Lonchura striata: one gene and its partner. The protein of the gene in region 2 interacts with the protein of the main gene of each other region in a pairwise test. Links are inferred from orthologs where the notes say so. Each region holds a gene or a part of one and is shown on either strand. Other genes may lie near its edges.

Evidence for each region.
Region 1: the proteins of PAK1 (region 2) and RHOJ interact in binary tests that used the Homo sapiens proteins (3 or more experiments, as listed by UniProt). The link is inferred for Lonchura striata from reciprocal best matches to the Homo sapiens genes PAK1 and RHOJ.

What each region holds. Positions count from the first base shown.
Region 1 is NC_134608.1:6,725,612-6,729,524, reverse strand, and holds the start of RHOJ (rho-related GTP-binding protein RhoJ), read right to left. Parts: upstream 2,992-3,913; 5' UTR 2,400-2,991; coding exon 2,222-2,399; intron 1-2,221.
Region 2 is NC_134604.1:32,382,931-32,386,843, reverse strand, and holds the start of PAK1 (serine/threonine-protein kinase PAK 1), read left to right. Parts: upstream 1-1,060; 5' UTR 1,061-1,297; intron 1,298-1,820; exon of another isoform or gene 1,821-1,998; intron 1,999-2,426; exon of another isoform or gene 2,427-2,647; intron 2,648-2,729; exon of another isoform or gene 2,730-3,364; intron 3,365-3,370; exon of another isoform or gene 3,371-3,547; intron 3,548-3,913. UniProt on the Homo sapiens protein: Protein kinase involved in intracellular signaling pathways downstream of integrins and receptor-type kinases that plays an important role in cytoskeleton dynamics, in cell adhesion, migration, proliferation, apoptosis, mitosis, and in vesicle-mediated transport processes.

The DNA of each region.
Region 1 (3,913 bases), on a different chromosome or scaffold from region 2:
GTTCTTCGCTCAATCAATACCCACAGTATTTTAAATAGGCTGTGTTATACTTTATGCCATGTCATATTTTTATGGGTGGGATTTTTTCCAGCACTCTGCTCTAGAAGTAATTCCTACTGCTCAACTCTGTATGCAATTTTGTACTTAAATTGGTTTAATAAATTATGGGATTCCTCAAAACACTGAAATTCCATTTGTGATCAATGCAAGTTTTGACCACTGCCACTGGGCAGGGATTGTCTCAGAACAGCATGTTAATAAGCAGAGCTATTTTTTCCCCTTATTTTTATTAGTTTTTCTCACTGAAAATACTTTTATATTTATGTGCTATAGTAGTTAAGAAGGTAGATAAAAAGAGCTGGAGATATTTTAGGGGCTAAATCTTCAAACCCTGGAAATGAGGCTTGATTTAAAAGTGCCTTCATACTCCTTTTACCCCAAGGAAATCAGGATTATGGTACTTCATCTTCCCATCCTTCCCTCAGCCCTTGTATCCCTCAGTAGCTTTTGAGCCCAGTGGCAATTTCCAACACTTCTGACAGAGGAAAGAGAATCAAAGCAAGTCCCTGCAAGTCACCTGTGGCTGGTTAGGGAGGAGAAACTCAGAGTGGTCCCCCACCAAATGCCACATGTGTGCCCCAGGCTCACACCAAAACCACCAAGACCGATGCCCACGTGGTCTGGCACCAGCTATTGATGGCTTTTCCCACAGGCAGAGAGGTATTTGCAGGGCATGGAAGAGAGTGGGAGAAGGGCAATGGGTGCTGGGATCAGCATTTTGTAAGGGATGAGCAGATCTGAAGTTATCACAGGAAAGTGGGTATAAGGCAGCCCTTAGGCATTTTGGCTCATGGAAGCACGTATTTCCAACAGGCAATATTCTGTTGTCTATATTTTCTGTGGAAATTTTTGTTGTTGTTGTTTGTTTTTTTGTTTGTTTGTTTTTTCCTAAAGGGATCACTCAATCTATGGTGGGAAGGGCAGAGAAAAGAGAGAGCTGCTTGCATTAGAAGTGACGCTGCCCACTCTGGTGGAGGAAAAGGTCTTCACATTTCCACGGATCAGATTCTGCAATTACACAGCTTTCTTGTTTGGCCAGTTCATCTGCTAAACCTGACACAGAGCCAGAATGCAAACAGGGATTTTTCCCATTACAAAATACCAAATCTATGATAAGCCACGCCATGAAAATTCAGTTTTTAAGGAGGTGGGGAGAGAATGAGGGAAACTCCAACTGCTGCTGCAAGATAAGCAATGAGTTTTGCAGGGCTCCTAGAATCTGTCAGGGATCTCATTAAAAAATTCCCTAAGCCAAAGGAACACTGTGGGAAGAAAAACAACAGGATTTGGGATAGTAAAATTTAAGCAGATGTTTGAACCAGTTTTAGCCTATGAAACATCTGCGTGATAACTTTGGACACAGCTGGGTAAAGTCAGTAATTGCTACAGAAAGAGGCCTGTGAATATTGAACTTAACCTGTGGGTCTGTTCTGCACAGCAATGCAGTGAATATAACTTGATTATGTTTGTGCTTTTTGCTTAAACTACAAATTCCCCGACTATGAAGGACTCAAATCAATCACCTCTTCTGCTTTTCACTACCATCAAGTTGTAGTATTAAAATCTATTTATAGATGAAGTAACAAACATCTCTGAAAGGAGAGTTATATACTGACAGCTTGGAAAGAGACTATGCTGGTTTTCTCAAAGATCTCCTAAAATAGGATACATTCTCAAATATTATTCCTTAAATAGGATATATATATTGTAATTTATGCATCATTTGCCAAGAGGGACAAGATTGTGATAGCATATATCTATATGTATATATATATATATATACACATATATATAGTCTTAACTGTAAACTGCAAAGCTCAGAACTTCAAAAACTAACCAAGAATACAAAGTGACAGAGGCTGAATCACATTTGTTGCCCCAAAACACAGTGGATTTCAGTGCATCCCTAAGGCTTCTTATTTGCCAAAAACAAGACAAAAATCAGAAGCAAACAAATAAGTTATCTGAATAAATCCTGCATTGTCCCAATTTCATGAGCTGCCCTCTAAGCTGCCTGGCAACCATCCAGGCCTGAATGACATTCCTGGACAAGAAGTAACCCACGCATCCCTTTTGAACTGTCCTCTCCTTGAGCTGCCTTCACCTCCCACCTGGCTGTCCTGCAGCTATCGATTAAATTTCTTTTAAAGCCCTTTCTTACCTGCATAGTGGTCAAACACAGTGGGGACGTACTCCTCTGGGAAGGCATCATTGGCATAGCTCATCAGCAAGCAGGTTTTCCCAACTGCACCATCCCCAACCACCACACATTTCAGCATCTTCTTGGTGTTGTTCCTGCTCCCGTCAGTGCAGTTGTCATTTTCCTCCTTGCAGTTCATTCTTGCTGCTGCCGCTGCTCTTGCTGCTCCCAGGACTTCCAAGTGCACATGAAGGAAAAATGAAGTGCGATTGTATTGACTTTTCCTGAGTTTGGAGAAGGAGGGGGGTGGGGGGAGAGCAGCAAATCTCAAACTCAGGAAATCATACTAATGTTTCCAGGCTGTCACAGCCGCTTCTAACAGTTACCAGATCAGTCAAGAGGATCATCGAGGTGAATAAATTAAACACACAGAGGGGAATATCATAGAAAAAAAAAAAAAAAAAAAGAGTGATCTGTCCTTTTTCGTTTGTCCCAGTCAGGAAATCCTCATTCTGCCCGGCCGTTCCCAGTCTTTATCACAACTTCAAAAAATATCAGCAGCCTGCAGCTTCGATCCGCGTCTCCCTTCCTCCAGCCTGGCCGCAGGAACCAGGGATTCCTGTTAAATCCACTCCATTTTCCATTTCATTTCTACATGGAGGAGAGTCTGGAGGTTTTTAATGGAGTTTTTCCTTTCTTTCTCCAGCTTGCTGTGTGTCAGGAAATCATGGGTTTCCTGCTGAATTCCATATTAGGATCAGTGGGCTTGTGAAGGGCTGCAAACAATGGGAGCTCTGTGTGTATTTGTACTTTGGAGGAACTCTGCCAGGACATGGAGAAAGGAAAACACTAGAGGTCCCCCTGCAGAATGAAGTTTTTTAGGCTCTCTGCTCCATCCAGCTGCTCTCCGGGCTGCCGGCCCCAGCAAGGAGGATTTGGGAGAATTCGGAATACGAGAGTGCTGGAGATGCACGGCCAGGCTGCGAGCTCTGCCCCTGTCCCAGGGATTCCTGCTGATCCCAGACACGACCTCCTCTCATCTCAAATAGGTATTTTCTCCCATTTGGGAAAGGGAAAGGGGGAGGTGGAGAAGCAGAGAGGAAGTATAGAGGCTAGATAATGTCAGCTTTCTGTCTCTATAGCTCTTTAAAGTGTTTGTTATAAAGAATAAATAACTGATTTTTCAGTTCACACACTCAGAAAGTTTCTCTTGCTTTTCCCTCATCCCCCCTCTTTCAAAAAAGACAGATTTTCCCCTCCTAATAAAAAAGATGGAAACACAGACCAAGACAATAAGTAAAATTAAGAGATAGAGAAATTAAAAAATTAAACAAACATAGAGAAATTAAAAAATTAAACAAACAAACAACCCCTTGTATAGCAGTCTGTGAAAAACCAGCTTTTAACTGCACGATTGCTGCCCCCTCCTCTGGTTTGTTCTGGTGCTTCACGTGCCTCCTAAATCTTCCCCCCATTTAAATACTCAACAATCTACATATACACGAAGGGCAAAACTTCCCGCTCCTTGCACAGGAAAGATTTTGCAATTTCCAGCAGAAATGAGCCAGACATTGACACAAACCCCAGTGCAGCAGCCCAGCACATCCTGCTGGCTGCATTTCCCCTCCAGGAGGCTGGAAAGCTTTGAGAGGGGGAAACACCCCCCTGCTGGCCCTGCACCGGTGATAAACACTCCCCCTGCCCTGCTCACAC
Region 2 (3,913 bases):
AGCTCACTCAGTTTTCCTCATAAGGGAGATGCTCATTTCCCCTCATCACATTTGTAGCTCTTTGGGCGGGTGCTTTGGGCAAACACTATAGTTATACAACCCCACTCCAGGAGCTCCATGTTTCTCTTGGACTGAGGAGCCTGGCACTGGTCACAGCACCCCAGATGGACCTCTCCGGGGCTCAGAAGAGTGCAGTACACCCAGTGTATATGGACCAGGCCTTAGGTCAACCACTGCAATTTCCTGACTTATCTATTCTCCATGTGGTTGAATGAATGTATTTGGTAACATGTCTCGTCAAACAGGCATGGTTATGGAGTATTTTGGGCTGTTCTCTTGTCTGGCTTCAAAATTTTTTTTTTTTAAATATTGTCAGCATTCACTCATGTTTCTGAAAAGGTTTTGATATTTCAAGCATGGTACAAAAAGGAAGTCACTCTTCAGCTCTCAGTTCAGGGTCAAAGGGTAACTCTTGTGTTTTAACTCCAGCTTTCATGGAGCCCCCTTTATGGATCCAGAATTTAAATTGAGCTACGTGGCTTTTGCCTCAGTTCATTCCCTCCCCCCAGCAGCAATCCAGTAAGCTCCCATGTATCTCTGGGATTCTTGACACAGTCTGATCCTGTCTTTGAAGTGATGGGACTGATACATATTACCCTGAACTACAGAAAAACCTTTATGTTGCAACCAAACTGCGAGCAGAGGATGCTTGAGGGAGCTCATGCGATCTGCCTGTGTGTGTGGATTTGAGCCCAATGTTAAATGTATCCAACAGAGGAAAGTGCTTCGAAGTGCGTAATTCCACAGCAGGTTCAGCTGACTGAAATCAGCTTTGTGGCATTCTCACTCTCCCTATCAGTCCCAGACTCGAATTCTCGCTTCCTCCATTTGTTTACTTTTGCGATGTTAATTTGTGTGTGTAATTTTCTGTTGGTTTAGCTCCTGAACAAACTTATCACGGCAACTGATAAATGTTGGACAAGGGGGAAGGGCGAGACTGTGGCAGCGCTGTCTTATCTGTCGTGTGCTGTCTCGGTATAAAGCTCGTCTCCCTTTTGCCTGTAACTACCTGCTTCACTTCAACATTTCACCTTCCCACCTCTGGAGAGCACGTCCCGAGAACACCTCACCTCTCTTCTCGAGAGCCCGGCGCTGTACGTGCAGCCAAACCCCTCCTCTTTTTCCCTCCGGGCGCAGCACAAGCGCTGAGCCGAAAACTCCTGTTAACTAGGGTGACAAGTTTCCAGCAAGCTGCGGAACACGGGGAGAGGGGACACCCGGATCCCGGCAATATAAGGTATAGACGCCTCGGCTTGTGCAACACAGCGGCAGGGCAGAGCCCGTTTTATTCTTGCCTTTTTTGGATCTGCACGCACACAGACCTCAGCACAATGGAGCCGGCTCCGCGATAGCGCAGCGCGGTACGGGCGGCAGAAATAAAGTCAGCGCAGCGCGGCTCGCGATTGCTGCGATTGCCGCGATTCCCCGCTGATGGCGTGATCGCCAAAGACTTCTGCGTCCCAGGCAGGCCAGCGCCGCTGCCGGCCGCTGCCCGGCGGAGCCGCGGGCTCCGGGAGCCGCCCGCAGCCGCAGCGCGGCCGGAGCACACCCGCGGCCCCGGGGCAGCGCCGGGGCAGCGCCGGGGCGCTCCGGGCTCCCGCCGCGCCGCGCAGGTACCTCCCGTTCCCAAAGCAACTTTCCGCCGCCGAGCGAAGCGCAGGGACCTGCCCCCGCCCCTCGCCCCGCTGCGTCCCGCCCCGCGGCCCGGCTGCCCACCTTGGCGGCAGGGGGGCTGCGGGCGGGCCCCGAGCCAATGGCCGCGGCACGGCGGGCAGGGCGCGGGGCGGCGCCGGCCGCGGCAGGGCGGCGTGGGCAGCGGGGCCGGGCAGACCGGGCAGCACCTTGCGGCGGGCGGAAGGTGAGTGCCGCCGCGCCGGGGAAGGGGATTTCCTCGCTTGTTTTGTAACCGGGAAGTTTGCGCAGGGCTTGAGCGGACGGGTGCGTTCTTCTTCTTCAGCCCTTCTCTTCCCTCCTCCTTTTGAAATTTTCTCGTAGAAGAGGGTACTGACCCTGCCTTCCCCCCCCTGCCTCCCCGACTCATTCATTTAACAAAGGGAGTTGTTCTCAGCCGCCGGGCTTTGCGAGCGGGGAGCCCTTCGGGGCCGCATGTTTGGGGTCCCGGAGCAGAGGCTGGGGTGAAATCGGCGCTCAGCCCACAGTTTTTGCCAAGCACCCGTCCTGCCTTCGGCTGGAGGGGCGGGCGCTTTGGGCAAACACAAAGAATTGAGGAGCTGGACCCATGCTGGGCGATGGGTTGATGAAGCCTCGGGCTTTGTGTGGCTGGTGGAGGAGGGATGGAGAGGTGGGAGCTTGTCTTTTAACCCCTCCGCCCGCATGTGTGTACGAAACCGTGACTTTTTTCCTAGTAAAGTACTTAAAAGCGAAGCTGAACTTTGGGATCGCGGCATAATTCAGATTGGAGGGAACGTCAGCTGGTCTCAATCCAGCCTTCTTCAAAGCAGGGGCTTCTGCCTGGGGAGTGGGGGGCAGTGAAGGGACATCGGAGATGGCTGGCACCTCTGGGTGCTCTTGAATGCACCTGGGAGCTCGCTAGAGAAGGCAGCACCAGCAGGACGGGATTTCAGAGGTACTAGCGCTTCTGTCTTCCACTGTGCATGGAAATGCCCCAATCCACAGCTCTCCCACGCCTGCACTCCCTGGTCTTGCTGCTTTTGTTATCCAGAGGGCTTAAAATTCATGATTGTTGGGAATAGCTGGCTCCATCCGTATGTGTGTCACGGTGCATCTGCTCCTGCTGAGCATTACTTGATTCTTATTTCAACATTGCCTCCAGGAGTTTTTTTCTTCTGGAGCAAGATTTATAAATAGGTGTCAAAACCTGACTTTTGCTTGGGACTGGCTGTAAGGCGTGTACTTTCTGTGGTAACTATGTATGAGATGTGTATGTGTGTGAGAACAACTATAAAATCTGTTCAGTTAGCCACACTTTTCATTTTCAAAGTAAAAGTAGGTATTGTAGCAGGGTGAAATGGCTGGATCGGGCACAGAGGGAAGAATGTTTGTTTTCTTTGCTCGCAATTACTCTTTGCCCAGTGACTTATGGATGCCTTTCACTGAACCACCTCCCCCTTCTCTACAGTTGGGAGTTTCCTGGTGTTGCACATTACCTGGGCAAGCAGGGAGCATCTTCCTGTCGCTGCTTCAATATCTCTTAGTGTGGGTGTGCTGGTCTTGCTCTCAGCTTTATAGGGTGAGGCTGGAAAAACTCCTCCTTGTGGAACAGTTTGCGTGTGTGTCCACTGGATGCTTGGAGACTGCTTTTTCCCGTGCATTTTTTTTGTGGGTAAGTCAGAGAAATGAAGCTCATCTCTGCACAGGGAACAGAAGCTATGGTGGGAATTTGAATATGTTTAAATACTGATTCTATTTAACTCTGGATTGCCTGTCTTGTGCCACAGAACAGAATTTGTTCTCAGCTGTACTGTATAACAGAGCTGGAGTCTAAGACTGGACAATAAACTGCCAGGTAATTTTTTTAGCCTTTTTGAGTCCTGCATCTTTAAATGGGATGATATAACTGCCATTTTTCGATTTGGAAATGAAAGCCAAAAATAAACTTGAAGAAGAAAATGCTCTTGTAGCATGACAGCAAGAATGCTTTTACCGGTTTCTGAGGAATACTGTGTGCTCTGGATGTTGCTCAGAAAAAAAAAGAGTAGGGAAAAGTGAGGTTTTTAGTTCATGCATTTCTGTGCATAATGGGGATATAGGAAGAAATACGTGACAAGTCCAATATAAGTGCCACAAGTGGAAATATATTGCTTGTTTATTTTGTTTTTCACTGCCTTTCTTGCGCTGGATTGAAAACTGATGCTAGCTCTCTTTGCTGGAG